Linked DNA regions of Rhinolophus ferrumequinum. The protein of the gene in region 1 purifies or fractionates together with the protein of each later gene. This does not show direct contact. Links are inferred from orthologs where the notes say so. Each region holds a gene or a part of one and is shown in the gene's direction. Other genes may lie near its edges.

Evidence for each region.
Region 2: the proteins of C12H9orf78 (region 1) and PRPF8 purify together in Homo sapiens (affinity purification with mass spectrometry; 4 studies listed by BioGRID and IntAct, with this or other methods). This does not show direct contact. The link is inferred for Rhinolophus ferrumequinum from reciprocal best matches to the Homo sapiens genes C9orf78 and PRPF8.
Region 3: the proteins of C12H9orf78 (region 1) and EFTUD2 purify together in Homo sapiens (affinity purification with mass spectrometry; 3 studies listed by BioGRID and IntAct, with this or other methods). This does not show direct contact. The link is inferred for Rhinolophus ferrumequinum from reciprocal best matches to the Homo sapiens genes C9orf78 and EFTUD2.
Region 4: the proteins of C12H9orf78 (region 1) and AAR2 purify together in Homo sapiens (affinity purification with mass spectrometry; 3 studies listed by BioGRID and IntAct, with this or other methods). This does not show direct contact. The link is inferred for Rhinolophus ferrumequinum from reciprocal best matches to the Homo sapiens genes C9orf78 and AAR2.

Annotation. Positions count from the first base shown.
Region 1 is NC_046295.1:78,220,628-78,227,827, reverse strand, and holds the start of C12H9orf78 (splicing factor C9orf78 homolog), read left to right. Parts: upstream 1-4,193; 5' UTR 4,194-4,247; coding exon 4,248-4,330; intron 4,331-4,663; coding exon 4,664-4,723; intron 4,724-5,547; coding exon 5,548-5,599; intron 5,600-5,818; coding exon 5,819-5,889; intron 5,890-6,407; coding exon 6,408-6,485; intron 6,486-7,200. UniProt on the Homo sapiens protein: Plays a role in pre-mRNA splicing by promoting usage of the upstream 3'-splice site at alternative NAGNAG splice sites; these are sites featuring alternative acceptor motifs separated by only a few nucleotides. May also modulate exon inclusion events.
Region 2 is NC_046304.1:16,246,115-16,253,273, forward strand, and holds the start of PRPF8 (pre-mRNA-processing-splicing factor 8), read left to right. Parts: upstream 1-4,155; 5' UTR 4,156-4,285; intron 4,286-4,480; 5' UTR 4,481-4,491; coding exon 4,492-4,591; intron 4,592-5,103; coding exon 5,104-5,272; intron 5,273-6,217; coding exon 6,218-6,382; intron 6,383-6,473; coding exon 6,474-6,692; intron 6,693-6,823; coding exon 6,824-7,036; intron 7,037-7,159. UniProt on the Homo sapiens protein: Plays a role in pre-mRNA splicing as core component of precatalytic, catalytic and postcatalytic spliceosomal complexes, both of the predominant U2-type spliceosome and the minor U12-type spliceosome.
Region 3 is NC_046304.1:39,769,655-39,777,284, reverse strand, and holds the start of EFTUD2 (116 kDa U5 small nuclear ribonucleoprotein component), read left to right. Parts: upstream 1-4,615; 5' UTR 4,616-4,736; intron 4,737-7,630. Other genes in the region: Ig-like V-type domain-containing protein FAM187A, read right to left, coding at 1-515; CCDC103 (coiled-coil domain-containing protein 103), read right to left, coding at 1,540-1,989, 2,630-2,762, 3,159-3,301. UniProt on the Homo sapiens protein: Required for pre-mRNA splicing as component of the spliceosome, including pre-catalytic, catalytic and post-catalytic spliceosomal complexes. Component of the U5 snRNP and the U4/U6-U5 tri-snRNP complex, a building block of the spliceosome.
Region 4 is NC_046306.1:19,429,978-19,437,386, reverse strand, and holds the start of AAR2 (protein AAR2 homolog), read left to right. Parts: upstream 1-4,406; 5' UTR 4,407-4,542; exon of another isoform or gene 4,543-4,835; intron 4,836-4,980; exon of another isoform or gene 4,981-5,271; intron 5,272-7,181; 5' UTR 7,182-7,232; coding exon 7,233-7,409. UniProt on the Homo sapiens protein: Component of the U5 snRNP complex that is required for spliceosome assembly and for pre-mRNA splicing.

The DNA of each region.
Region 1 (7,200 bases):
GTGTGACACACAGCAGGCGACTGATGCATGGTAGTTCTGATTCACAGTGCTACTTTCTGAGATCCAAGCTCACCTCCTGGTACTTCTGACATCAATGTAAAACCAGGGAAAGTGGCCCCAGGACACGAAGCAAATCCTTACACAGCTTTCCTGTCCTGAGGCAGCCAGCACCTCTGCTGCCAGCAACTTGCTTCTTTCTCAGTACAAGATGAGAAGCTGTTTCAGATAAAAGGCACTCAAGAGATATGACAAACTTGGATCCTGGATCAACGGGAAAAAGGGGCATTAGTGGGACAGCAGACAAATCTGAATATGGACTAGATATTAGATAGTATTTGTTAGGGACTGAATTGTGTCCCCTCCCCCAAATGTATATGTTGACGACGTCCTTACCCCTCAATACCTCAGCATGTAATCTTATTTGGAGATAAGGTCTTTAAAGAATTAAGTTCAAATGAGTCTTTAGGGTGGACCTTGATGCAGTCTGACTGATATCCTTATAGTAAGAGGAGTAAAGTTAGACACACAGGAGGCATGAGGATGCACAGAGGAAAAACCACGTGAGGACACAGCAAGAAGGCAGCTGACTGCAAGCCCAGGAGAGAGGCCTCAGAAGAAACCAAATCTGTTCACCCCTTGACCTTGGACTTCCAGCCCCCAGAACTTTGAGAAAATACATTTCTGATGTTTAAGCCACCCAGTCTGTGGGACTTTGTTATGACTGCTCCAGCACACGAATACAGTATTATATCAACATTCAAGTTTCTGAAGATGAAAATTGTTTTCTGGTTGTGTATTATAATATCCTTGTTCTTGGATTATTCCACCTGAAATATTTAGATGGAAAGGGTCATGATATCTGCAACTTACTTTTAAATGGATCAGCAATAATGATGATGATTCTGAGCATATAAATATAGGAAGAGTAAACGGCAAAAATAATAATTGGTGACTCGTATGAATGGGATTTCATTATTATTCTTGTAAGTTTGATTTTTTTTGTTTTATTTTTTATTTTCTTATTTTCCCCCCCTTCTTTCACCTCCCCCCCACACACACACACTCTGGTTCAAGCCATCGTTTCTCAGTCTAGGTGTGTAGGACACAGCTCCCTGGGACATGCTGGTATTAAAAGCTTTGCGCTCCCCTCCGCCCTCCGCTGATGCAGTCGGCCGCCGGTCACCTCTCCCCGTCTGCCGGCCACCAGCCACTCATGCTGGCCGCCGGCCACTCATGGTAGCCCAGGGCAGCCCATAGCAGATGGCAAGGACCTCTTGCTCGTGGCAGCCCAGGTACAGGGAGAGCCGTTGTTCACAATCTTAGCTGTAGAGGGCGCAGCTCACTGGCCCATGTGGGAATCGAACCATCCACTGCAGCTTAGGAGCACGGCGCTCCAACAACCTGAGCCACCAGGCTGGCCCCCTTGTTTTGTTTTAAATAGAAACTTTTTAAAGATTCCCTTCCTCTTGTTTCAGGTGGAAGCAGGGAGGGGGTCTTTTGGAAAAGGTAACCCTAACTCCACAACAGAGCTCCAGGATCCAGCGCCTACTCTGAGCCAGGCACTATGCCCAGTGGTCCCCCTACACTCAGGTAAGGACCACTATTTCTTATCTTAGAGAGGAAGGATGGAGGCTCCGAGATGGGAAGCCACACAGAAAGGGACACAGCTAGAAGTAAGCCAGGTGTATCTGCGTTCATAGCCCTTCCCAACCTTCCCTCTGTGCAAATAAATGGAGTGCACATAGTAGGCGTTTCATAAGACTGAAAGGGGAAGAAACCTGCACTCCTCAGAGAACCGGATGCTGGGAACAGGACCTCTCGAGAGCAGCTGGATGACTGTGCTGTCGGGAGTCTGTGCGGTGCCCGCCCCACAGCTGGTGCCCAAATCGCCAGCCAAAGGAGTTAGGCTTTTTCCACACCCATCCCAGAGCACATCTCCCTCCTGACCCACCAGACCCGCCTCCTCTCTTGGGGATGAACAAGCAGGAGGAAAGGAGGCAGGATGGCAGGTCTGGCAAAGAGCCCGTGCATTCAAGGACCGGGTGAGGCTTCCAAGATGCTTCATCCGGAATAAGGACAGGCACTTTTCCCTCCCTGGGGCTTTCACTGAGTGAGGAGGAAAGTGCCTCCCGAGGGACGCGGCAGGCAGGCAGCATATCCGGGCCTGGCACCAGCTGCTGAGACCAGGCCTCAGGTGCCCATTACTCATCATTTTCCTGGAGGTTCTGGCTCCATCGTCCTCCCAGCCAGGAGCCAATTTCCTCTGGACAGGAAAGGTGACACTGCCACACCCCCCATTAACATAAGGACACCCACCTGCCCTGATCCTCACCACATGAGCCCTGCCACACCCCACACACCCGCGCCCACACCCCTCTGCCCCTCAGAACATGTACCCTTTCCCTCCCTCCTGCCCTCTTCTCTCCAGTAGACTTCCACGCAGCTCCATTTTCCCTAAATCCCAAATACATTCCTTCTTTTAACCCAGTCTTAATTCACTGAGGGTCCACCATCCTTCTGATTCTCAAAGGAGAACCCTCAGGCACCTCCTGCCTTGGCAAGTCCTGCTTCCCACGCATCTCCAGTTCTCCTCATTTGCCTTCCCCACCTTGCCTCCACCCAAATGGCCCCTGCATCCTGGAACTGATATTAAGAGAACTCACTAAATCCTCATAACCACCCTGGGGGATGGCCACATTGGGAGCTAAACCCATTTCCACCTCCACCACGAAAAGAGGAAAGACTGAGGCTCAGAGAGGTGGTGTAACTGGCTGGAGGTCACACAGCAGCTACTGAGCAGCTTTTGACCAAAGCCAAAAGGTTCCAAGAAGTCCTGAGTCTACTATTTGTCTCAGTCCAAGGGAGAGAACAACAACCTCAGAGGAGACTGTTCCAGAGAAAAGTAAGGCATTCCATAAATGCTGCCCAGCTTCCGAATGGTCTTCCCAAAGAGGGAACCCCAAACAGTCTCCACCAGTACCTCCCCTCAGCCAAAGAGCTATAATAACAGCAGCTTCAGCAAACATTTACTGAACTCTTACTGTGCCAGGCACTGCAAAACGTGCCTCTTTGAAGCCCGGTATCCTCATTTGCAAAGTGAAAAATAACTGAATCTACTTCATAGGATTGTTGGGAGAGTTCAATGAGATAATGCTTAGCCCAGTACCTGCCACAGAGTAAGTGCTTAATAACAGCTAATTCTTTGTCAAAGGAAAGGACCAGCCGAGATTGAGGAAAGCAAAGCCACTATTTATGCCTGGAGTTATTTCCTAAGCGTTTGTTTATGCCCTTTTTTCAAATAAACTGAATCCTCACAGCATCCCTGGGGTAAAAGGGGCAAAAGGTAGAGCGATAGTCTGCGTGACAAAGGACGAAAACAAGGCCCCCGAAGGTCCAGAGAGACGGCCGGCAAGCACCCGAGGAGGGGCCCTCTGTCCTCAAAACCCTCCCGAGTGGGTTCAAAAGATCAGACGCGCCTCTCCTCGGGGAGAAGTGGCTGGAGGTCATTATTAGCGGGGCAGTCGGCGCTGGGGCTTTAATTCACCGCCGCTAATAAGTGGTCATCTTTTTGTCCCTAAAGAGAAAAAAACACGTCAGGGCCCAGACCCCGGGGAAATATAAGTCAGCGCCCCGAATGCCACATGCGTGCTTTCAACGCTGGATCAGGCCCTGGCAGAAATAAAGGACATGGCGGCCCCTGTCCCGGAGAAGCAGCGAGCCCCCGGGAGCTCGAAGTAGGGCGACGGGACCACAAGGGACCCCCTGGGCGCTGGACGGAGGAGGGGAATGGGCGACAGCGTCCGGGGGGTCCCGGGCTCCGCTCACCTAGCCGCGGCGTCCAGCGCACTTGGCAGGGCCAGGCCCCCGCCGGCCCGGAACAGGGATTGGGTCGCCCCTGCTCCGAGAGGCCAGGCCCCCCGAAGCAGCCCGCCGCAGCCAGGAACTCACCTGCCGTCGCTACCTCGCCGCCTCAGCCTGTCAGTCAAACGCGCCCTCCGCTACGCCGCGCAGGGTCCTGGGGCCGGCTTGGCCGTGCCCCGCCTTCTCTTCCTTGGCTTCCCAATCGGAAGACGCCGACACCATCAATGGGGGCGTGGCCAGGTGGGCGGTGCCAGGCGGGGCGGGCCCAGGTAGGGCTTGGGGCGGGGCCAGGCGGAGCCGGCGCTCTGACCGCACTGCTGCGCGCCGGAAGCATACTAGGCCTTCGCGCAGCGGCGCAGCGGCTGGACCGCAGGGCTGGCGCGGTCATGCCGGTGACCGGGAAGACTTTCCGCCGGCGCCGGGCCGACTCGGAGTCGGAGGAAGATGAGCAGGACTCAGAGGAGGTTCGGTGCGTTTGGGGCGGGGTTTCCGCGGGGCAGGAAAAGAGAGGCCGACTTGGGGACCACCGGCCAGGAGCCTCGTTGACCGTATTTGCTATGAGCCGGGATTGTTGTCGCGGGAGAAGTTGAGGGTCCTAGTGATGTGGTCGCCACCCCCAAGGCCGCGCAGTTAGGAGAGTTGTCTCCGGGATGGGCAGTGGATCTGATGGGTCTTGGCGCAGGTTCGCCTTCCGTACCACTGTGCCCGCGGCTCAGCAGCGGCTTGGGGCACGGGTCGAAGCTGCTTTTTGACTCTTGAGTTCTGCGGAGGGTCTCTCAGCCTGCGTATTGCCTTTTTTCAGATTAAAACTGGAAGAGACTCGAGAGGTGCAGAACTTGAGGAAGCGGCCCAACGGGGTGAGGTGGGTACCGCGGGGGAACCTGGAGGAGCAAGGGATGACAGACACGCCCCTGCCCCGGTCGCTGTCACACATACCTCCTCAGACATAGCCCCTTTTCTTGACACACTGTACACCTTCCACTGCCCTGAAAGGGGTCTAGCATTCTTTGAAAATATTTAACCAGGAGATGCCCTGCACGGTGTGGTCTGCAGGTTTGCTCTGAAGGTGCAGAAACGGGTCAGTAAATAGCACCTATTAATGTAATTCTCCCACCCAGAGGTAACCAGTGTTATCATTTAATGTTCTTTCCGATCTGTATTCTTTCTCTGGTTTGTAAAGGGTAGTAGGTACTTATATGCTATTTTCAACTCTATGACATTGCGGACATTCACTCACATTGTGGATTATTTTCCCAAAAACCTTTTTAACGGCAGCATAACATTCCACCAAATGCATGTCCCATAATTTAGCTCATTCCCTATTTGAGGACCTGTAGGTTGTGTTGTAAACTTTCATCAAATAAGGCTGCAATATCTATCTTCCGGCATTTGTCTTTAGCTTTATTTTCCCTGAAGGCAAAATCTTAGAACTGATGTTTCCAAGCCAAGATAATGCCAAATGGCTTTATAGGAAAGTGTACCCCTTCACCCCGCCCCCAGCATCTAAAGTGCTTGTTGAGCCCTATTTCATTCTTGCAGGCTTTTCCAGCTGGCTTTGGCGCCCATCCCTCAGATCTCACCCTTGCACTAATGTTGCAACCTACAAACTTTCTAAACGTTCTTCCACATCTCTAAACTATGCCATTCCTTCCCTTTTACCCACCTTCCCTTTTTGGTTTTGCTCAGTGCTGTGGCCCTGCTGGTGGGAGAGAAGGTACAAGAAGAGACCACTCTAGTGGTAAGTTGTGGGGTCCTCCGTGAGCAGTGGGAAGATGTGGATGCTCTTCAATGAGTGATGGTGTTTTCTTTAAAAAAAGAAAAAATCCACTGCCAAGTATTAGGTTGGTGCAAAAGTAAATGTGGTTTAAAAGGTTAAAAATAACTGCAAAAACCACAATTACTTTTTCAGCAACCTAATATATAGATGTTTCCTCTTAGCTGTGTTTGTGTTCTGCAGGATGATCCCTTTCAGATGAAGACAGGCGGTATGGTGGACATGAAGAAACTGAAGGAAAGGGGCAAAGATAAGTAAGTGCAGAACACACTGACATACAGATTCACCTGTATCCCTGCTAGGGTCTGTGTGCCCCAGAGAGCTGGCCTGCAGTAGTAGCTTTAGCGGGACATCTTCAAGTATCCTTTGTGCTTTGTGCAGGGTTTCAAAACGAAAGAACACAAAAACTCTTTAAAAGTTAGCATAGAGAGATGTGGGTACACTCTTTTTGTAAAGGTGCATTGTTTTTTTGTCTTTCAAACCCATGTGGATGTTTCATTTTTCTTTTTTAAGGAAACATAAAAAAGCACAATTATAAAAATAGCACATTCAAACAATACACGAGTAAAAAATAAAATATCTGTTCATTCCCCAGAGGAATCTCCAGAGGCCAGCAGTTCACTTCCATATATTGATTTTATTTACGTATCCTATATATATTTTTCCCACTATAAACAGGATGATAAAACATGCATATTTGTCTTATTGCTATAACATAAAACTCAGCCTGAGCTGTGACTCGAAGGCCCACTTCACTCTCCTCTCCTTTTAGGATTAGTGAAGAGGAAGACCTCCACCTGGGGACGTCATTTTCTGCAGAAACCAACCGAAGGGACGAGGACGCTGACATGTAGGTGTCAGTCTGTTTGACTGTGAGCAATTGAGGGTGGGCTCCAACCAGATACAGTCCAAGATATTTAGTCACAGATGACATTTCTAGAATTATCCAAAGACATCAAAGTTGGCCCTTCTTGCCTCCATATCTGAGGCTGGAAAACTTTGAAAAATGCCTAAAAGTTCTTCAGAAGTGGTTCTTGAGATTTTAGATTCCTTGACTAGTAATATTTCCCTAAAACATTGCACAGATAAACATCAGACTACCCACTTTTTATTTTGCCAACAAGGTTGTTAAACAACTACCACCTATCATGTTTCCCCGAAAATAAAACTTAGCCAGACAATCAGCTCTAATGCGTCTTTTGGAGCAAAAATTAATATAAGACCGGGTTTATTATATTATATAAGACCCGGTCCTATTTTACTATAAGACGGGGTCTTATATTAATTTTTGCTCCAAAAAATGCGTTAGAGCTGATTGTCTGGCTAGGTCTTATTTTCGGGGAAATACGGTACAATTATTTTTTTGTCTTCGAAGAACCTTATGTTTAATAATGCCAGTAGAGTGTAGGACATAATCTCATCAGTTGGTGCTTTTAAGTTGCAAATTTTAGCTTCATGAAAACACTCGTTACTTTTGTTTTTGTTACCTCTCCATGGGCTGATGAAGATTTCATGGACCATCACTGCTCCATGGGCCAATGTTGGGGACCACTAATTTAAAAGAC
Region 2 (7,159 bases), on another chromosome or scaffold:
CAAAGGATTGGTCAATTCCCATCGCTTCTGTTTCCTCATGATCTTCCTTGGCAACCAGGAAACTTCCTCTGCCATTAGCTTTCTGAAACTGCTCTCCTAAGTCACAGAATTCTTCCTAGTCAAGCTTGTGGTCTTAGTCTTCCTCTACCCCTTGAATTATCTAACATGGCAGAGGGCTTTTCTTTCCTTTCTCTCTCAATCTTTGTTTTCTGTTCCTTGCTATTATCTGGATAAGCTTCCTTTTCTTGAAGCTCTTCCTCCCTGTGGGCCTCTCCTGACCTTTCCAGCTGTTCTTGCTCTGGCTTTTTCTGGCATCCTCTTATCCTAGACTGTGTGTATCTCAAGCCTTCCTCATCTGCTTTTCTGTTATTCTTCTTCTGTGAACTGACTCTTTCTCATGGCTTTAGTATCAAATTTAGTCTGATGCTTCAAGCCCTCATCTCAGCTCCTAGACTGCCACTTCTGTATTTCTAGCCAGAGGACTCCTTCATTTTTATGACCTGCAGTCACCTCCACATTCAGTTTTAAACTCCTCGAACAATGAGGAGACTGGTTTGACTGCAGTGAATGGTCCATAATAATGGCAGTTAATGTTTTCTGTTCAGATATTTTCCTGGCTTGGTCACTTTTCCTCCTCAATTGAGCTTCGTCAGACTAACTCAGACAGACTGTGTTTGACCAGTTAAGAGACATTAAGAGAAGTACTTAATTTCTTTAAGTTTTAGTTTCTTGATTTGTAAATTATTTCATTTGCACATGTGTTTCCTAGCTATAAAAGAAAAAGCTTGGAAATCATTGTCAAGTAGGTCAAATCATTGGCAAAATATCAAAATTCTGCTTGGAATTCAAGACCAGCTTTAATTTGGCTGAAATTTTGCCATCCAACATTATCTATGCTTCTTAGCATGAACATAGAAGATGATATGGCAGTATGGTTAAAAACATAAGCTCCAGAGCCATTTTTTACTGTTTCCAGTATTTACTGTCTGTGGGGCTTTGAGCAAGTGGCTCAATTTCTCTGAGCTTCAGTTTTTTTACCTATAAAGTGAGGCTAACAATAACACCTACCTCATTGGATCATTGTGACAATTAAATGAACTAATACATATAAAGTTGTTAGACAGAACCTGACACATGTGTCATGCAATTAATCATGTGACCCAAGGCAGGTTACTCCACCTTTCTGAGCCTGGGTTTCTCATCAGTAAAATGGGGATCGTAATAATAATAACTCTCTTGTTAGATTGCTTTGATTGCTTATTTATTTATTAACTTTTTATTGTGAAATAATTTTAGGCTCACATGAAAGTTACAAAATAGCACAGATAGCATAAAGATAAACCTATAGATCAATGGGATAGAATTGAGAGTCCAGAAACAAATGGTCAGTTTATTTTTTGACAAAGGAGCCAAGACAATTCAAAGGGGGAAACAATAGTCTTTTTAATAAATGATGCTAGGACAACTGAATATCCCCATGCAAAAGAAAGTATTTGGACCCCTATCTCATATCATGTACAAAAATTAACTCAAGGTGAATCATAGACCTACGTGTAGGAGCTAAAACTATAAAACTCTTAGAAGAAAACATAGGATTGTGTCTTTGTGACTTGGATTAAGCAATGATTTCTAAGATTTGACACTAAAATCATAAACAATAGAAGAGAAAATTTTAAAAGTTGGGCTTCAAATATATGGTGTTGGAAGGAGAACTGTCTCTGGGTGGTGAACACACAATGGGATTTATAGATGATGTAATACAGAATTGTACACCTGAAATCTATGTAATTTTGCTAACAATTGTCACCCCAATAAATTAAAAAAAAAAGTTGGGCTTTATACAAATTAAAAACTTTTGTCTTTCAAAGAACACCGTCAACAAAGTGAAAAGATAACTCAAAGAATGGGAGAACACATTTCCATATCATATGTATGACAGGGGACTTGTATCTAGAATATATAAAGAACTCCTACAACTCAATAATTTAAAAAAACAACTCAATTTTAAAATGAGTAAGGGATCTGGAAAGACATTTCTCCAAAAAAGTTATATGAGTATATATACTACACAAGGATGAACTTCAAGAACATTATACTAAGTAAAAAAAAGCCAGTCAGAAAAGACCACTATTCTATGATGCCATTTATATGAAATGTCCAGATCAGGAAGACCTATCGAGACAGAAAATAGATTAGTGGTTGCCTAGAGCTGAGGAGGAGGAAGTAGGAGGATATGGGGAGTGAGTGCTAATGGTTACATCGTTTCTTTTAGGGATGATGAGAATGTTCTGGAACTAGATAGTGATGATAATTGCACAACTCTGTAAACATACTAAAAATCATTGGATTGTGTACTTTAAACAGGTGCACTTTATGGAATGCCAATTATATTTCAATAAGGCTGTTTCGAAAATAGTACAGAGAGTTCTTGTGTACTCTTTGCCCACTTGAGAAGTTCCTACATAACAATAGTAGGACAATCAAGACCAGGAAATCGACATTACTATTGGCATGATTACAAATTGACATTAGCAGTACAATAGTGTTAATGAAACTATAGACAGTATTAGGATTTTACCAGGGTTTAAAACAATAACTGGTACATAGTGAACCTTCTACAGGTGGTAAAGACTTCACTACAGTAACAATGATGAACACGATGATGCTGCTGAACTTTCTACTGCAGCCAGGTTGAAGCTCTTTTCAGAGCATGCCATGTTTGTGCCTCTTTCTAAATGCTAATTCTAGCAGTTTCTACTACCTGGGATTCCTTTTTCCTTCCTCTTTCTCTACCCCATCCAATCCTTCAAATCTACCCATTGCCATCAAACCTTTCATAATGCTCCTCTCCCTTCTTTGAACTGTATGAACCTCCACACCAGCCAAAACTTGTCTGGAATCTTCCTTTGTATTTTTCTCTATTTTACCTTTGACTCCCAAATTCCCAACAAGATTGAGAGGCTGTATTGGTTACAATTCCTCTGCATTCTCCACAATAAACTTGGTGTGATTCAAACAAATTTATGTGTTAAGTCAGATTGAAAGTTGTTACCAAAGGATGGAGCAAGAGAGATGGGAGGGCAGACGGGTGGCTCAGTTGGTTAGAATGTCAGCTGTGGGCCAGGGGGCTGCCAGTTGGATTCCTACATGGGCCAGCGAGCTGCGTCCTCTGCATTTAGAATGAAGTCAGTGAGCTGCCGGTCACCTCCCTGGTGGCCAGATGGCTCAGTTGGTTGGAACAAGGGCTCTCAACCACAAGATTGCTGGTTCGACTCCTCCACTCCGGCAAGTAACAACAGCAACTGGACCTGGAGCTGAGCTGCACCCTCCACAACTAAGATTGAAAGGACAACAACTTGACTTGGAAAAAGTCCTGGAAGTACACGCTGTTCCTCAATAAAGTCCTGTTCCCCTTCCCCAATTAAAGAAAAAAAAATCTTAAAAAAAAAAGAGGGATGGGAAGTAAAACAAGGATGGTAGGAGGATTGTAGGAGATGGAGAGCAATTCAGGCAGAGCCTGAGGGACTCAAGAAGCATTTATAGGCTGTCCAATATAAACTCCATAGTGTAATCATTGCCAAAGAGAGAAAAGAGGACTGGAGAGGGAAGGGAAAAGACACCCAGAAATGTTGTTCCCCAAGACCTTTTATTTTTCTATGTTGGCAGGCAGGATTAAATGTTCTGCTCCCGAACTCCGATCACAACACATCTTAAGAACCTGGGTTCTTGTTTGCATCCCTGCTACCCTGTGAACTCAGTGAGGTTGGCTTTTTCTTTGCTATATTCCCACTAATACATAGTGGGTACTCAATATATGATGGTTGAATGAATGAATGAACAAAGGACTGGATGACTTGGAGCTAGTACTGCATCTCAAGTCTACATTTATGAGACTAGACACAGAATAATGTGCAGATTTTGACAAATTTATTAAAACTCTGGAAGCTTGGGTTTCTCACGATCAGAGGACAGTCGCGGATAAGACCGCGAGGCTTTATGAAAGGGCCCAGAAGCAGGCTCAGAAACGCGGGAGGCGGGGCTTGCGCCTGCTCCGACCACACCCCCTCGCATTCTAATAATTCCGCCCATGGGCCCGCCCCCTCCGGCCCGATATGCAACTCTAATTGGTGAGTTCTCTAACTTGTCTGAGGACCTCGGCGCCTATTGGGTCAACTACTGAACCCGGGTTGCGCACTTCCCGGCGTTGGGAACGCGAAGCGGACGTAGGCTTGCCGCCATTGCGGTGCCAGCGAGCGGCGGGCTGCGAGTTTGGGGGGCTGTAGGGGTGCGTAGCGGGCTTTAAGGGCTGGCTGCGGGAGGCGTGGTGGGGTCAGGCTGAGCGGCGGGAGGGATTGGGCCGGGCCGTGCCTACTCTGAGCGAGGCGGTACTGCAGGCCGCGGGTATCGACGCGTTCCTGCTGCGCCTCTTGTAGGCCCCGGCCCTGTTACTCCTTAATTTTTTTCTTCCGCCGCCCCCCAGATTCTCCGGACATGGCCGGAGTTTTTCCTTACAGAGGGCCGGGTAACCCGGTACCCGGCCCTCTAGCCCCGCTGCCGGACTACATGTCGGAGGAGAAGCTGCAGGAAAAAGGTGAAGAACGCATGCGGGAGCGGTGCCTACGGGCCCGGAGATGTAGGGACGGGTGTGCGCGCGTGCGCATCGGGTTTGAACCCTTTCCCTTTGTTTTGGCAGGTGTCAAAACATTAGGCGTTAGCGCGGTTCTTAGCCCCCTCCCCATTTATTTTTTCACCTGATCGGGTCTTGAAGAGCGTCTGTTATTTGCAGGCACTGATCCAAACAACGGAGATAACAGTAGCGATGCAGACAGAATCCCTGCCCTTACAGAATTTAAATTGCAATGAAGAAAATAGAAAATAAAAAACTTAAAAATCTGTAATAGAAATGCTAGGCAGTGATAACGTGATGAAGGAAAAAATAAAGCAGAGCGAGTTGATGAGAGAATTGGCTGGGAATCTCTTTCTGGATGCTGGCCTCTTTTTCATACATCCTGACGGGAGCCTACCCTAGGGCAAGAGGTGGGGAGGAGTAGGCTAAGGGTCCCTTACCTGAGTTCAGTCCCTTAAACTGAGGTATCTTTGTAGCCCGAAAATGGCAGCAATTACAGGCCAAGCGCTATGCGGAAAAGCGGAAGTTTGGATTTGTGGATGCTCAGAAGGAAGACATGCCCCCAGAACATGTCAGGAAGATTATTCGAGACCATGGAGACATGACCAACAGGAAGTTTCGCCATGACAAAAGGGTCTACTTGGGGTAAAGAACATCCTGGAATTTTTTTTTTTGGAGTCTGGCCCCTTTCCCTTCTCTCTGTCCTATAAGTTGTAGTCCTGGATAGCTGCTCTATCATTTGGGACGTTAATCTTCTAGTACAGCCTGTCTTGATGATTAGAAGAGAGGAAACCACTAGGATCCTGTGATAGTTTCCAGATCTTCCAATTATGGTCCAGATTTTACTTCCTGATCTGGGACTGGAGCTTTAATTTGTGCTGTTGGTACTATGCTAAGATGTCCCTGTCTTTGAATGGGTTGAAGCCCAGAACAGGACACTTTGTGCATTCTTCTTGCCTCTCACTCCTCAGTGACCAGAATTCTCAGGTTTGGGAATAGTTAACTCCTGCGGTCTCTATACTCTTGTTTGTCTGTGGTCTGAGCTGGGTGAGTACAAATGCCGTAGCAAATCCCTTTCCCATTTGGACATAAAAATGTTAGCTACTTAATGAACTAGTCTAAGACAGCCATGGAAGTTTTGTTTATTTCAGAACTATTTCTTGAGAACTGCTAGGTGCAAGGGAGCACCTAGCAGGGAACAGGAAGTGGTAGTCTTTCTGGAGCTTATAGTCTAGTGGCATGACAGACATGAGACAAACGGTTACAGTAAAGTATCTGAATACTTTATTATTTATGGGAAAGTACAGAGAGAATAGAAAATGAGACAGCTTAAAAGCTGCCTTTAGAGGGAGAGCTGTAGATTTAGAGGGACTGAAACCCAGTATTGTGGGACTGTGAAGTTTAAAACTGGCATAGTTGCGGTGGGGGCAGAGTTCCTGGTCATGGAGGGCCTGTGTGCTAAATTTGGGAGTTGGACTGTAAGGCAGAATTTTCTGTGGGATATGATACTGTGATACCATGTTGCGTCTCTTCGTGGAACAGGTAACAGAACATCTTGTGATTTCTAATCATCTCTTCCTAATGCTGCAGTGCCTTAAAGTACATGCCCCATGCAGTCCTCAAACTCCTGGAGAACATGCCTATGCCTTGGGAGCAGATTCGGGATGTGCCTGTACTATACCACATCACTGGAGCCATCTCCTTTGTCAATGAGATTCCTTGGGTCATTGAACCTGTCTACATCTCCCAGTGGGGGTGAGAAGGGCCGGAATACGGCGTGTGGTGGTGGTGGTGGTGGTTGGGAGGCATTGGGTAGAAACCGTTGTGTGACATTGTTGGCTTCCAGGTCAATGTGGATTATGATGCGGCGAGAAAAAAGAGACAGGAGGCATTTCAAGAGGATGCGTTTTCCCCCTTTTGATGATGAGGAGCCACCTTTGGACTATGCTGACAACATCCTAGATGTTGAGCCGCTGGAGGCCATTCAGCTAGAGCTGGACCCTGAGGAGGACGCCCCGGTGTTGGACTGGTTCTATGACCACCAGCCATTGAGGGATAGCAGGAAGTAAGTGTGGTTGGAGTAATTACCACTCTTGTGAGAGGTTTGGAAGTCCAGGGGTCTTGAGAGAGCAGTTGGTAGTGTGGCTTGGCTAGCTGGTATACCTGTCTGACGTGGGCCTGTCTTTTTTCCCTTAGGTATGTGAATGGCTCTACTTACCAGCGCTGGCAGTTCACACTGCCCATGATGTCTACTCTCTACCGCCTGGCCAATCAGCTCCTGACAGACTTGGTAGATGACAACTACTTCTATTTGTTTGATCTGAAGGCCTTCTTTACGTCCAAGGCACTCAATATGGCCATTCCTGGAGGCCCCAAATTTGAACCTCTTGTTCGAGATATCAACCTACAGTAAGTTGGAGAGAGTAGGGATTTTAGGCATCTTGGCTTGAATAAAATCTACTCTCGATCCTTAAGATCCATTGTAACTTCCAAACTCTTCAACTGGTCTGCTCGTCTTTGATTTTGTACCCT
Region 3 (7,630 bases), on another chromosome or scaffold:
GTGGTGAAGACGTGGAGGCTCCCATAGTAGTCGTCGGCAAAGGGCTCTTGGCCCTGGTCCTTGAAGGTGGCCACCATTCCCTCACTGCTCTGGATGTCCACATCGTAGGCGTAGAAGTAGTCCCCCTTGCGGGTGCCACAGAAATACAAGCCTGAGTCCTCGGGCTGGGCCCGGAAAACCAATAGGCTGAACATGCGAATGCTGAAGCGGACCAGCATGTCACTGCCCACCCGGACCTGGGCCGCCTCGGTCAGAACGCGCCCATCAAAATCCGTCAGCACTTTGGTGTGGCTGCTACCGAGATGCTTTTGATAGTACCAGACTACCGCAGACACCTCCTCGGGCTTGCAGTGGCAGGGCAGCTCGAAGCTCATGTCGGCCAGGTAGGCTGCATTGTCGAACATCAGGAAAGCGGGGCAAGGGGTCCTCTGAAAAATATTCTCCTTCTCCACGATTTCAAAGGCCTGGAGACTCCCCCACGCCCACAGCAGCACAGTGGTGTGGGCCAGATTCATGCGTGCACGAGGGAAGGCTCAGAGTGGGTAGGGCAAAACCAAGGCACTCAAGGCGTATGGGGGCTTCTAGAAATGACTGCCAGAGGAGGCATCTATATTAAGAAAAGATTAAGCCGCCAAGAAAAGCAACCATCTGCAGGGGAAGTGGCCAAAGGCAAGGCAACCGATTCCCAGCTGATGTACGAGATGCCCTTCTAATGTGACAGATGTGATCTCAAGGGAAAACCATTCTAGAACCTGGCCTTCTCTCTCCTTTCTAGAACCCTGACACTCACCCAAGAATGGGTCAGGAGAAACTGGAATGAGAAGCAGGGCGCAGGGGCTAGATGGAAATCTCTGCCTCCCTGCTCCAGGACCTGCCCCGCCTGCCTGGTGGGTAGGTTTTCCCTTTGGGTAATCCCAGAGTTGAAGGAAACCCACCCACCTGCCCATCTGGCCATCTGAAGAAGCCTGGGAGGCTGGCCAGACTTAAATTGATGGCGTGGGGCTTTTCCAGGCTCAATCTGCCCAGGAACTCAGCCCCTGGGATAAAATACCGCGCCTCAGATGAGATAGCATTTGACCGTGACCGTTTGTCAATTAAATGTCCATTCATTGGTTTTAGGTTATAAACAGTCTCGTTAAGAGCTATGGAGGCCAGTGTTTCTTCATCATGGAAGATTAATGATTTTGCTTTTTCGTTTCTTGGGTGGAGGCTGTTAACTGGTGTGGCCAGCATTTGGTTGGGCACGTGCCCATCTCTCAGGGCTATGGGCCACGGCCTTGGCAAACACTAAGGGCAGGAAGCAAAGCTCTTTTAATTTCCTGGGCCCTTGACCATCCTGTGGACCCACACAATTTAGAGTATCGAGCCACCGAGGGGCTGCAGAAGAGGGAAAGATTGAATTCGGGCTTTTACTCTGAAAATTCCAGGTTGAAAGGGAATTAGGTGTGGACTTCTTACTACAGTCCTGCAGAACCCCAAGACAACAATCAAAAAATGCCTCCAGCGACCACTGGGGACCTCTGAAGGTAACTGGTCCTATCAATCCACCTGGTACAGCCCTAGCAGCTCTTGCAGGAGCCTCTCCTCCTCCTGGAGCCCACCAGGCTGCTCCAGACCCCGCTCCTCCGGGCTGAGCCCCTCCTTCACGGGCCTGGGGGCGCCCATGGCTTGCAGCTTTTGAAACAAGCTTCTGCAGCTCTGTCTCTCCACCTGGCTCATCAGGCTCAGGTTCAAGGTGAAGCGCCCGGTACCGGCCAGGCTGTGCAGGATCCCTAGCACCAATGACCGGTCAGCCAGCCTCACGTGATCAGCCAGCACCACCAGCATCTCCCCTAGAAGTCCAAATCCCACATCTGTCTGGAAGAGGTGTCCCAGCTTGGGACCCCCGAGCTGTAGCAGTGCCTGGTAGCGCTCTGGCCCACTCCGCAAGTATCGCCGCCAATCACGGTAGAACTCTGCTGAGGTCTCAGGCTGCAACAGTGTTTTCTCCTAGTTCACAAAAGAAGGAAAGGGAATTCAGAGCTCTTCCAGCTGTTCTGCGACAGTAAGAGTGAGGGAAGCCTGTGGGTTTTCACCTTAGCTCTGGTACTGCTCTCTGAGCACTGGGAAGGCTGTGGTGGCTGGGGGACTCATTCTCAGATGAGGGAAACTAGCGGTGGAACAGGGAGAGAGGGTCCCAAAGAACCCAGGCCATGATTTGAGATTCTTAGTTGTACCAGGATTTTCTTACTGATGAATGTGAGAATAAGTCAGGGTTTACTCTGAGCAGGGCCGAAGGGATGACTGAAAACCTCAAGGTGAGTGTTAAGGGTCTGACAGGCTGGGTCGCCCTCCCAACACTGCCACAGGACCATTATACTATATACCATATAACCTGGAGCACCCCAAATCTGATCTGTGCATGCAAGTCAAAGGACTGCCTGGAGGGGACCTGCGTGGCCTGGCCACCTTCCTGACTTGTTCTGCCCAATGTAGCTCAACCCCACCATCTGCTGGGTGCTTTCCTTTCTGGGATTGGAGGCAGAAACCTGCCTCTGTTGGTTTAACATGAGAAATAAGGAAAAGGTACGTGTTGTAAGAGGATAGGACTGGAGGTTTAGGGCAGAGAATTCTGCTGGGCCTCACCGACCTGACAGATCTCAGTGGTTTCATCCAGGGAGGTCCTTCCCTGAGTAGTGTGACAGTTCCAAGGCACGGTCCTCTTTCCTCCTATCTTATCCTTCCGTTCCAGTGGCTTCAGATGTGATGCAAGGACAATACCCCTGTGGACAAAGGACAGAGATTAGGGGATGGACCTAATGGTGTCTGTGGGTGTGAGGTGGCTGGACTTTGCATGATATTGGCTGAATCTGTTGGCAGGCCAGTATGACAATAACAACAACAGCAACAATAGCTGACAGCTTTTAAGCACTTCCCATGTGCCAAACATCGTGCTCAAAAATCTTACATATAATAACTCATTTAATCATAATAATGGTTACTCTCTTTTACAGATAAGGCATAAAGGCACAGAGAGGTTAAATAACTTGCACAAGACCACACAGGTAGCAGAGGGTAGAGCCAGGGCTGAGCTCAGAATTGTCTGACACCAAAGTACGTGCCCTTATCCACTAAAGTCCACCATAATAGGAGCGTCTGAAAAATGGCATTAAGCCAACCTGAATTCTTCATAGGAAGCCACCCTCTGTTCCACTGCCCGTAACTTGGCAGCATTCTCCCGTTTGTACTTCTCATCAGCAGTGAGTGCAGCCTGCAGCTCTTTCTCCAAAGCCTTGAAGTCGATGATGTCATTCCTTTCCATGGCCTGTGCCTGGGAAGGCAAAGGGAATGGACATCAATGGAGGATCAATAATAGGGGGAAGAGTGTGCATCTGGATTCTTTGCCAGGCCACAAAATAACCAAAAACCACTCTGGATATCTTGTCACTTATGTTGGGGGGGGTGTTACAAAAATCTGATTCTCTAGTGAGCGGAGCTGACGTACACAGTGAGAACTTACTTAAGACTTGTTGTCACTCAAAATAGAGTAGAGTCCTGAATTTCAATTTGGAGCCCAATGTTAATTTTGTCCTCTGCCTCTAAAAATATTTTATTATTGGTGCTTCAGCTGAGGAAGCATTTGGATCTCAAAATTCAGTCCCTTCACTCTTCCACATGGTCTCACTCTATAGCAATTATGAAAGAAGACCTCGCACAAAAGCAGAACTATTGTTAGCTACTCTTGAGCCCAGGGATACAATTTCATCCATAATTAAATGTCTTTAATGGGGAAGGATATTTTTCACCCAAGCCAGATGCAAGGACTGAGCAGGAAAACAAGTAGAAGTGGCAGGCGAAGGGGCTGAATGATCCCTGTCCCCAAATCTTTCCATCCAGTCCAGGGCTGGATCACAGGACCCTAGATATTTGGGCGACCTCTTTAGTTCTATCACTGTACTTCTGCAGTCTCCGCGTATCTGAGGCTGATTGACCCGTTTTATAGGGAGATCACCTAAATGGGTTCTAGTCTTGGCTCTGGCGTTTACTTGCTGTGAGACCCCTTTGAACCTCAGACTCCTGGTGCATTGAGCTAGATTTTGTGGTGGAGTCATCAACAGCCTTAGGACAAAGAACCGAGAGGTCTTCAACCAACCCCACAGTCCTCCCCTTCCACCTCAACGTGGGTAAGCTGAACACCAAGAAGTGGGCTGGGCTGGCCAGGAACTGAACTCAAGTGTCCGGCTCCTGTCCAGTTCTGAGCCCTACCCAGTCATTGAATAAATAGAACAACTAAGCCTACCGCCCCTCTGACCTTCACCCCAGCAGCCCTGGCTTTGGTTCCCTTGCTTTCTTTGGGGATCCCCAGATACGCCGGGAACAAGGTAGCTTAGCCTACCACCCGCAGCAGCTGTGGTTGCCCAGCAACTGCTCCAACAGTCTGCCCACGTGATCGACCTGAAGGCCCCCGTTCAGGATGGTCCCGAGGCGCCTGATCAGATTCAAGCCTCCTCAAGCCTCATTCAATTTGGAAAAGCTCACGCCTTGGTTTGAGGATCCACGAGTCCACCTTGCCAGTTCCTGCGTCCGCGGTCGGCATTCCTCCGAGCTGGTCCTCAGGCAGAGGGCTGCCCTCCGCGGCAGAAACGCGACCGCGGCGGCTTCGGGGTCCTTCCGGACAGCGGGCGCAGGCGGCGGCCGTGTGAGGCGGAAGCGCGGGGCAGCGGCCTACCGGGAGCTGCTGGCTGAGCAGGCGGGAGGTGAGCTGGCGTGGGTCAGCGGCGTGGGGAGGTGGCTCCGGGTGGGATGGGAAATTACATAATGTCAGATCTGGAGGATCTGCCCCTTTCACTTTACAGATCGGTAAATTGAGGCGTGGAGCGGGAAAGGGAATGAAACACACCTTCTCCCCAACACACACACACTCAGATCCCGAGGTTCCCTCAGTGTAGTCCATCCGTAAAATCCCTTACGTGGGCAGGGGTCGTTCTCACTGTTCAGCCCCCCTCTTTCACTCCCTCTTCCATCCGTGCCTTCTTCACTCCTTTGCCCAGCTCCCTCCGTCCTTATTCTGTATTCCTTTGAGAGCCTGCATTATAGCGGGAAGCCGCAGTGAAGTTTGGTACCGCAAGTCACTAGTTTTGTGCACCTGTGGGCAAGTCAGCCCTCTTCTCTGTGCCTGGCTGGAGTCATTCATTCACTCAACAAATATTGAGGTCCTGTTTGTGCCAGATACCGTTCTAAGTGAAGGAGGGGAAAAAATAAAACAGTCCTCACTTAAATTGTAGTTGGAGAGATGACGTTAAACACATGACTAGGTATATCTCAGGTAGTGATAAATGTTAATAATAACAAAAGAGTAAAGGTGGGAGTTGGAGAGTATGTGTATGGGGGACTCTTTTAGAGTGGCAAGGGAAGGTTTCTCAGAGAAGGTGTCATTTTAGTAGAGACCTGAGTGACATGAAGGAACAAGGTATAAATATCCAAAGCAAGAGCCTTTAAGAAGAGAATAGCAAGTACAATGGCCCTGAAGCAGAAGGAGCTTGGTTTGTCCCCGGAACAGCCTTCTATAAAAATTTCTTCAGTCACTTCATGAGTTTTAGGAGAATGAAATGAGCACAGATGGGACAGCTCTTTGGAAGTAAAAAGAATATGCACGTGAAAGTTTCCATAATAATTTACATTTAATTACCATGTTTTCCCGAAAATAAGACCTAGCCGGACCATTAGCTCTAGTACATCTTTTGGAGCAAAAATTAATATAAGACCTTATGTTACGTATAAGATCTTATATATAAGACTTTATATAATATAAGGTCTTATGTTAGATAAGACCTGGTCTTATTTTACTATAAGCAAATAAGAATATATAGTAAAATAAGACTGGGTCTTATATTAATTTTGGCTCCAGAAAACGCATTAGAGCTGATGGTCCGGCTAGGTCTTATTTTCTGGGAAACACGGTACTAGTCCTTGGAGCTCTTAATTCTCTATTTTATCTACAACCAGCACTCAACAGGTGGCATTGAGGGAGGTGGAGGAATTAACTTAGTGTAAGAAATAACAGTATCTCAAAATTAAACATTGCATTCACTTAACATTTATCCCGTTCCTACTTCCGCAAGGTACGTTGGCCAGTGGGCACACGGAACACAGGATTCCTGTGTTTAAGAATGGCCAAAACATAATGCTAACTAACATTTATTGAGCCTGTGACTCGGATAAATTCTTGACAGAGACTATTTTGTTTAATTCTCACAACCTTTCATGCAACGGGAGTTAGTCACTCCATTTTCCAGTTGAGGAAACAGGTTTAAAGAGGTGAAGTAACTTACCTGAAGATACATAGTTATTAAATGACGAAGTTAGGATTCATATCCAGCTTTTCCCATTCCAGAGCCCAGGCCCTTCACTCGTGCTCAGGTCTGTTGTTTATTACTTGTAAGCTGTAGAGTTGTTGCTGAGGGTAATTGGTACAGGTAACTACCACTCCAAACAATTCAATGCTGATAAAGGTACAGAAGGCTGTAGCGGCATAGGGGAGTGAGAGATTGGGGATCTAGGAAAGCTTGAAGGAGGTGGCATTGGAACTGTGCTTTGAATAGAATTTCAGCAATTGAAGTGGAGAAAACCCACAAAATACTTACTCATTGCAAAGAGAAAACTTCCCAATAGAGTAACTTCCCAATAGAAAAACCTGGCAGACACCGATGTAATCAAATGATTAAATTACCATCACCACTAATGGGACAAATTAAAATCATGTACCATGTGATACTAGGAGATGCACTAAAAAGAACACAGCATCACTTCTGTGATATTTCTGCCAGAAATGCATGACTTGAATCTAATCATGAGGAAGCATCAGACAAACTCAAGGAACATTCTACAAACTCACTAGCCTGTAATCTTCAAAAGGGTCGAGTCATAAAAGTCAAGGAAAGACTGAGGAGCTGTCCCAGAGTGAAAGAAGCTAAAGACGTGACAACTAAATGCAAGCATGCAATCCTGGGTGGGATCCTTTGCTGTGCAGGACATTATTGGAACAGTTTGTGAAGCTTGACTGGGGGTCTGTGGATTAGGTGGTGGTTATGTGTCAATATTAATTTTCTGATTTTGATGGTTGCATTGTGATTATGTAAGAAAGTGTCCTTGTTGGTAGGAATCACACACAATGAAGCAGCGGTTGGCAAACCTTTTCTAAAGTAAATATTTTAGGCTTTCTGGGCCATATGGGCTCAGTTGCAGCTACTCAACTCTGCTGTTACAGTGTGAAAGCCTCCGTAGACAATATAAATGAATGAGCGTGACGGTGTTCCAAACTGACGGTGTTTCAGTTATTGTAGATACTGAAATTTGAATTTCATACAATGGATTGATTTTCACGTATCATGAAAAAAATTTTTCATTTTCCAACTATTTAAAAATGTAAAAGGCATTCTTAGCTTGGGGGCTTATAAAATCAGGCAGCAGGCCAGATTTAGCCACAGGCTATAATTTGCCAACTCCTGCACTAAAGTAGTGGGGTAATGAGGCATTGTGTCAGCCACTTATTCTCAAATAACTTAGGAAAAATAAAGTTATTTTTACTATTTTTGCAACTTTCTGGTATTAAATTATTTTAAAATTAAAAAGTATTATTTAAAAAAGTGGA
Region 4 (7,409 bases), on another chromosome or scaffold:
TCATTCAACAACTACTGAGTACCTACTGATGCCAGGCACTCTTCTTGGACTAAAGGAGAGAGTGGGGGGGCGGGGGAGGGAGGGCCCTGGGAAGCCCCTGAGCAAGCGTTATATCTCCAACCATGGCTGCCCCCTCTGAGCGCATCTCCACATTCTCTCCCGATTCTGGGACTTTGCCCAGGGATGTCCTCTAGAGGGCGCAGGCTTGCTGATCAGTAACCCCGAGGCTCTGCATGCTTAGCTGTTTAGCTGGTGCTCACCTGAGGCAGGACAAGGATAGTATGCGTCTGTGGGCCACATGGGATGGAGAGGGCAGAGAGCCCTGAACCTGGGCATCAGATGGCAGAGTCTCCGCATCCCCCACCCCCACCCCCACCGCTACCCGCAGCAGGTCGGTCGTCCTCTCCAACTCCCCCCCAAATGTGACAGCACACTTTCTATGCAGCAGGTTCTTTTTACAATCCTGGTAAAGAAGCCACAGAACCTCCTTCTTGCCCTTCTCAACCTGAGAGCTTCCACTCTTTCTGGGTCAAGAGCCGGAGTGGCTTCACCCTCTCTGGGCTACCCAGAATTTGGCTCAGGCACCCCTGTCTTTGCTGGAACCAGGCATCTGAACACACTGGACATCCTTCAGAGGGAGAATATTTTTTTCTGGGTTCTACACCTGCCTGCAGACCCGGGGTGTGTGGCTTCAGTGCAGGGATGAAGTGACCCGGCATAGCTCGTGGGCCAGCCAGGGTTGGTGGCAATCTCCGTCCCACAGATGTTCTGACTTTCCTTCCATGGAGAGGCAGGCAGCGCCACCAGGGAGGAGGGGAGCTGCAAAACTGAAATCTAGGACACTGTTTCTCCCCATCCTCCTCTTCATGGAATATAGACATTTGTCTTGTCTGTCTTCAACCTACTTTTCTTTTTTATATTTCTCATCCTTTCTGTGCTGCCTTTCCACCCAGGAGCCCATGTAGCATAGTGGAAAAAGTCCCAGAGGGCAGTCAGGAGTTCTGGGCGGCCATTCTGGCTTAGCCCCTAACTCACCCTGTGACATTGAGCTAGTCCTGTGCCTCATCTGGGGCCTCTGTTTCCCCACTTGTGAAATGAAGAAGATAAACCAGATGCTCTCCAGGGTCTTTTCCCCCCTCTGCCATCCTACAGATTTTCATTTTATTTTGCTTTCTCAGAATCTTTTCAATCTGAGGGTACAGGAAGTGCCAGGACCTGTCTCAGTTTTTGAATCCTGCAAGCACATTCCAAGACTGGCCTGAAATTGCATGAGCAACATCACTCCAATTTTTTTTTTTTCCAAAAGCTCCTTACCAACCAACTGAGATGCTGTCCTGTTCCTTTTTATTCACACCCCTCTCTCCTCTCTGGTCCCCGCGCTCCCCCACCTCAGTGCTCCGTGCTGTATGCGTGTGCTCTCTGTTCTTGTATACTCAATAAAAGTGAAATAAATGTGTTTGATGCTGAACCACAACTGCCTTGGCGCACATCTCTCTCCCCACACCTCCCCTCTCTCTCTCTCTCTCTCTCTCTCTCTCTCTCTCTCTCTCTCCATCTTTCACTACCAGTACAAGTTCGCATTTTGAGTAGAGCTGAAACTGGAGTGCAGAGATCCCAACCTAGAACACTTTCATTCAAGAAATGTTTGTAGCTCCCAGTGTGGTCCAGTGCTTGCAGTAGGCTTTGCAGGTGCAACAGCAAATAAGACAAAGTCCTCGTCCTCCAGGAACCCAGAGGCTGGTGGAGGAAACAGACAACACAACAGGCAGGCAGAGACAATACCCGAGTGAGGCATGGGCACCAGGAAGGAAATGCACATGGGGGGATGGTCACTGAAGGAGACCATCTTCAATAAGGTGGCCAATTACAGGCTCCCTAGGGAGGTTATATTTGTGAGCTGAATGAAGAGAAATATCCAGGAAGGTGAAGAACTTGGGCAAGAGCCTTCTAGGCGGAAGGAACAGTAAGCATGCGGGGGTGCCCCAGGACACGGGGGCTCGGTGTGTGCAGGAACAGCAGTCTCTCTCCTCCCTGAAAGAAGAGCACCTACCGCAGGGGCTCTTCCTGCACCCCTGCTCCATGGGAGCCTAGCGGATAATGTATACAGCCACCCTCCCTCAACTCCAGCCTTGGCCCACTGCCTTCACACGTGTTGCCGTATCCCCATATGTGCCACCTGGCTTGTTACTGACTTATCATTTTTCTTTAAATTGTGTAAAAAAAAATGTTTATTTAAAAAAGAAACTATATTACTTCCACAAATGGAAAACTATTGTCATTTGCCAAAGAAAGGAGGTCTTCATAAAAAGAAATGCAAAAATATTAAAAGTAATCCATGTAAAACTTAAACTCACCCCTTGGACTACCTGAGGTGCACGCACCAGCACTTTCCTTTTTATTCCACTAAGCAACTCACACCAGACTGCCTTTCTTTATTGCCCAAAATTTCACAAGCAAGAACACCGGTAATCATTTGGTGCATTTTCTTCCAGACTTTTTCCACGTCCAAGTATTTTTTCCAGATTTGAAGTTACCTTGTACATACCATTCTAAATACTTTTTAAAACTTAAATCCCGAGCACTTCACTGTAATTTCAAATACTAATACTATTTCTTCATTAAATTATACAGAATGCTATGCAGTGAAAAGCAATTCTTCAACCCTCTACAGACTCCTGTCTTGCCAAAGGCAATTCCTTCCAGGAGCTTTGTTACTCCTTCTCTGAATTTCCCCAGGTTTCCTTTAGCTATCTGTCACACTTGGGGTTCTGCAATAGGATTTGGTTTGCAAACATTGGGTCCCCACACGTCTTGGATCTGTATCTCTCTCTCCCATAAATACAGAGCCAGCCTCTGTGCTGCCTGGGAGTAAACTGTGTGTTTCATCTGTATCAGTGGTTCTTAACATGGGTGGGGGTGTGTGTGTTTTACCCCCCAGGGAACATTTAGCAATATCTGGAGACATTTTTGGTTGACACACTGAGGGGTGCTACTGGCATCTGCTGGGTAGAGGCCAGGGGTGCTGCTAAACATCCTACAATCACAGGACAACCCCCATAACAAAGAATTATCTGGCCCCAAATATCAGTAGTACCAAGGTTGAGAAACCTAATCTGGATGGACATAGGACCCACAAAGTGGGGTTTCCGGGACACCATCCACAGCTTCCATGCCCATAGTATAGTACCCTGGAGTCTCTGAGATGATGGCGAGCCTGGCTGGAACAGAGAGGTCTGACAACCAGACCAGAGAGCTCAGCACCTAAGACTGGGAATAGGGAGGGGCGAGGAGAGAGCTGAGCTTCTTCATGCCGGAAGTGGACCTGACACAACAGGCTGAGATTGGCGTCCATGACTGTAACTAATGGAAGCCATCTCTGGTTAATCCTGCAGCAGCTCATTGTGATTAACCATGACCGCAGGGTCCAGTCTGGTCTATACCCACTAAGAGATGAATTTTGACTGAGACAGATTGGCGTGTCCAGCTGTCACTGAGGAAGTATGACACACAAGCTAAGGAGTAGCAGCACAAGGACGAGACCTGGGTTTGCACCCTAGCTCCACCACTCTGACTGTGTAACCTCTCTGAGCCTCAGTTTTCTCTTCTGTAAGTTGGGAATACTAATACCTGCTTATTAGGGTATTGTAAGGTTTAGAAATCATATGCGAATGGCCTGCCCTGTGGATTTTGGACTTACGCAGCCAGCCCTCACCATCACATGAGTCAATTCCTTGCAATAAGTCTCATAATATATATCACCTATTGGCTCTGCTTCTTTGGTTGGACCCTGAGTGGTACAGCCACTCAGCACAGGGCGAGGCCCCAAAATAGAAGCCATTTATTAATACCAAATTACTGTCATTAATTAAATGCATAATATATATACTGAGCTGAACCTTTGTGCCTATTTTGTGCTAGGTTCCGGGGAAACAGTAGAGAACAAGACAGGCAGGTAACCACCCTCAGGGCACCGATATAGCCTGACTGAGTTATCAGCTAGGTCTGTCCTGCCAGAGGATATTGGGTGATTACGGATGGAGAGATTGACACGGTGACTACTATGGCTGAGACTGGTTCTCTCTAGTTTGGGAGCTGGGTTTCTAAGGCTCTCTCTTAGTCCTGAGTGTGGTTGGAAGCTGAGACTGGGTGATAATAAGCCAGCTGTGACACTGTCACTCAGGTAGAGATTGGCTGACCAGGACCATGACTGAGCATCTGACTGTGGCTACTGAGCAGCCATGACCTTGACCCCAGCTTCAGTGACCAGGACTGAGATCAAAGGACCATGGCTGGTGGATGTGTTTCTGGAGCGGGATATAAAAATGCACAGTTTGACGAAAGTTGTCATCCACGGCTCAGGAGCTAAAACGAGTTAACGAAAAGCAAAAGGTTTTATGAGGCGGAATCTGCAGGCGCGGACCGTTCCTTCCGTGACCAAGAGCTCTGCCGGGCCGCTTTTCCCGTGGCGCTTGTCCTACGCCTAAGCGGTACAACTTCCGGGGCGTTTCCGCTGTGTCTGCGCGGGGAGTGAGACCGAGGCTGGTGAGTGCGGTGGTTTAACTCCTCTGCTTCGTTGTCATTTGGCGGGGCCACCCCTCTGTCCCGCTCCGGATCACGGAGTGCCCTGAACTAGGGCGTCTCGCTGGGACAGCCGCGTCCCGATCTGTGGGCCAGTGGTGGGACGCCGATGTCTCTGCAGGCCTGTGCCCGAGAAACCGTCGCCAGTACTTCCTAGAGCACCCGGCGTAACTTCCCTTTTTTCTTAACTTTAGAACTTGGGGGCCCGACACATTGGCTACGTCCGACGTGATTCGGTCCGATTCTCTGTAACTTAGGTAAGGTCTTTCTCCGAACTGAGCCTTTGTTTCTCAACTGCAAAACGGATATCATGTTTTTATTATTAAAGCGTCTAATATGTGCTAGAGGTACAAAAAGACTGAGGTCTCATGGAGGTGACTGACAGCCCTCTATTAAATGTAGGCAAAATTGCAACCTTGATAAGTGAAATGAAAAGGCACAAGACGCCATGAGTGGATCACACAGGAAACCTGATCTAGCCCAGCGTCAAGGAAGCTTGACCGAGGAGGGAATATTGAGATCAGAAAACCGATTTGACAGAGAGGGGAACGAAGAGTTCTCTCTCCAGAGGAGCCTCCCGTTTGAGTGTCTGAAAAAGATGTGACTGGAACAGAGGGCTTGGTGGGGGATCGTGTTCTGAAACAAGCGTAAGGAGTTGCCAGGAAGCAGACCATGCACGCCTTGGAGGTCATGGTAAGAATTTTGGTTCTCCAAGAGCCACATGGGAAGCCACTCACAGGGTATTAAGTGTGGGTGGTGACATGCTTAGATTGGCATTTTGTAAAGCTCACTCTGGCTGTTGGATGGAGAATGGATTGGAGGGGCAAGCACTCTGGGTGAGGGATGTGGTAGCTTAGATTAAGGAGGTGGTGGAGAGAATTGGGTAGATGTGACTTTCTGCATTCCAGGGCTGCTTCTCTGTGCCAGGACATGTGTCAGCTGCTGAAGATATAATGACTAGTACAGGCTGGTGGAATTAGAACAAGAGGAATGTCATTATCAAGGAGGAGCATACAGGTGCCACTACTGTAAGGGAAAGTAGCTAATCGATGAGCACTTACTCTAAAAGCAGGAGCTGTTCATTTAGCAAATATTTATTTAAGTACCTTTTGAAATCAGGTTTGGGAATAGGAAGATGATGATATATAAATTATTTAGAACAGTGACTTTCAGACTTTTTTGACTGTGACCGATGGGAACAAATACACTTTACGTTGCAACCAAAAGGACGTACAAACCCACAAAGCTTCAAAAAACAGTGATTTATACTACACCCGCTGCGCTTTGATTTTTTTTAAAATTCTGTTCTTTTTGTTTTAAAAAAATTAATGCTGGTTGAGACTCTCTAAATTGATTTCTTGACCCATTAATGAGGTGTGACATGAAGTCTGAAAAAAAAATGCTGATGTAGAATGAGAGTCATTTGTAGTGTTTTTTAAGTTAAGACGGTAAAATAGGCCCTTAACATTTTTGGAAAAGGGTTAGTCTTCTGTTCCTCACTGTTTTGTTTGTTTAAAAGAAAAAGTAAAGAGAATTAAACAGGCAGTTGGTTCTTCTGTTTATGAAATTTTGGGCTCTTGTTCGTATGTCTGGCTAGATTGGAAGTACCTACAGGACAGTGACCGTCTTCCACTGGATGTTTTATTAAGTGCCTGGTAAAGATCCTGGCACAGTGCAGGCATTTAGTGATTATTTGTTAAACTGAATAGGTAGGTGTCTTAGGACTAGAAGGTTAGATGATTGTTTGGTTTAAGTTAGTTCATGTTGGAACCAGTCTTATAAATAAATACCACGCAGGCAGTGTTTGTCTGCCTACAGAATTTTTACAGTGTGTCCTCATGGGTTGTCCAGAGGTAGGTAAAATAAATGTTCTGAGCTCTTTCTCTTCTAAATACTGGTCCTAGGCCAGCCATGCCACCTGAATCCATTCTGGGCTAGTGGTCCAGAGCTGCCACTGACTAGGCCCTTTGAGAAGTTGTTTCACTCCTTGGACTTTAGGTTTTTATGCATAAAAGGAGAAGGGGAGGTTTGTGGTTAACAGACTCTTCACCTCCCCGATCTAGTGTGAATTTTAGATGCTGAGCATCCACTTTCCACCTCTGTCCATTTCTGGGCCTTCCCTGAGGTTTGTGGGAAACTGGGTGTATGCTTGATTTAATCATCCTTTTCAACTCCTGGGTTTCTCCAGCAATAGGTTAGGCAGAGTTATAGGTTAGAATGGACCATCCAGGCTTTCTCCACCTTCATCTTCTGTTGGGAGAGTGATCTGAGAGCAGATCCTAAGTGGACAATGAACAGAACACTGGCCTGGAGGGCAGGGTACCCAGGTTCTAATTTGTGTGACGTTGAACATGTCACTTCTCTTTCATGCCTTTGCAGTTATAAAGTGAGTGTTCTTGCTCATTAAACCAAAACACGAAAATCCTCTTCTCTCTTTCTCATTTTTCTCATGTATAAAGCTGATGTAGGGTTGTGTGAGGAGATAACTTCTGGGAGATAATTATGTCAGGAGTCTAATTCAGTATCTGACACATAGAGAATGCTCAGCAAATGAAGTATGCTTCCCCAACTTCTGATGAACTCTGATTTCTTTCTTTTTTCAGCTATTCTGAAAGACAAGAAGGGTTCTCCTTTTGGTCACCCACCACTGGTCCATGGCTGCTACGCAGATGGATCCTGAACTTGCCAAGCACCTCTTCTTTGAAGGGGCCACTGTGGTCATCTTGAATATGCCCAAGGGGACAGAGTTTGGCATTGACTACAACTCCTGGGAGGTGGGGCCCAAGTTCCGGGGTGTGAAAATGATCCCACCAGGCATCCACTTCCTTCAC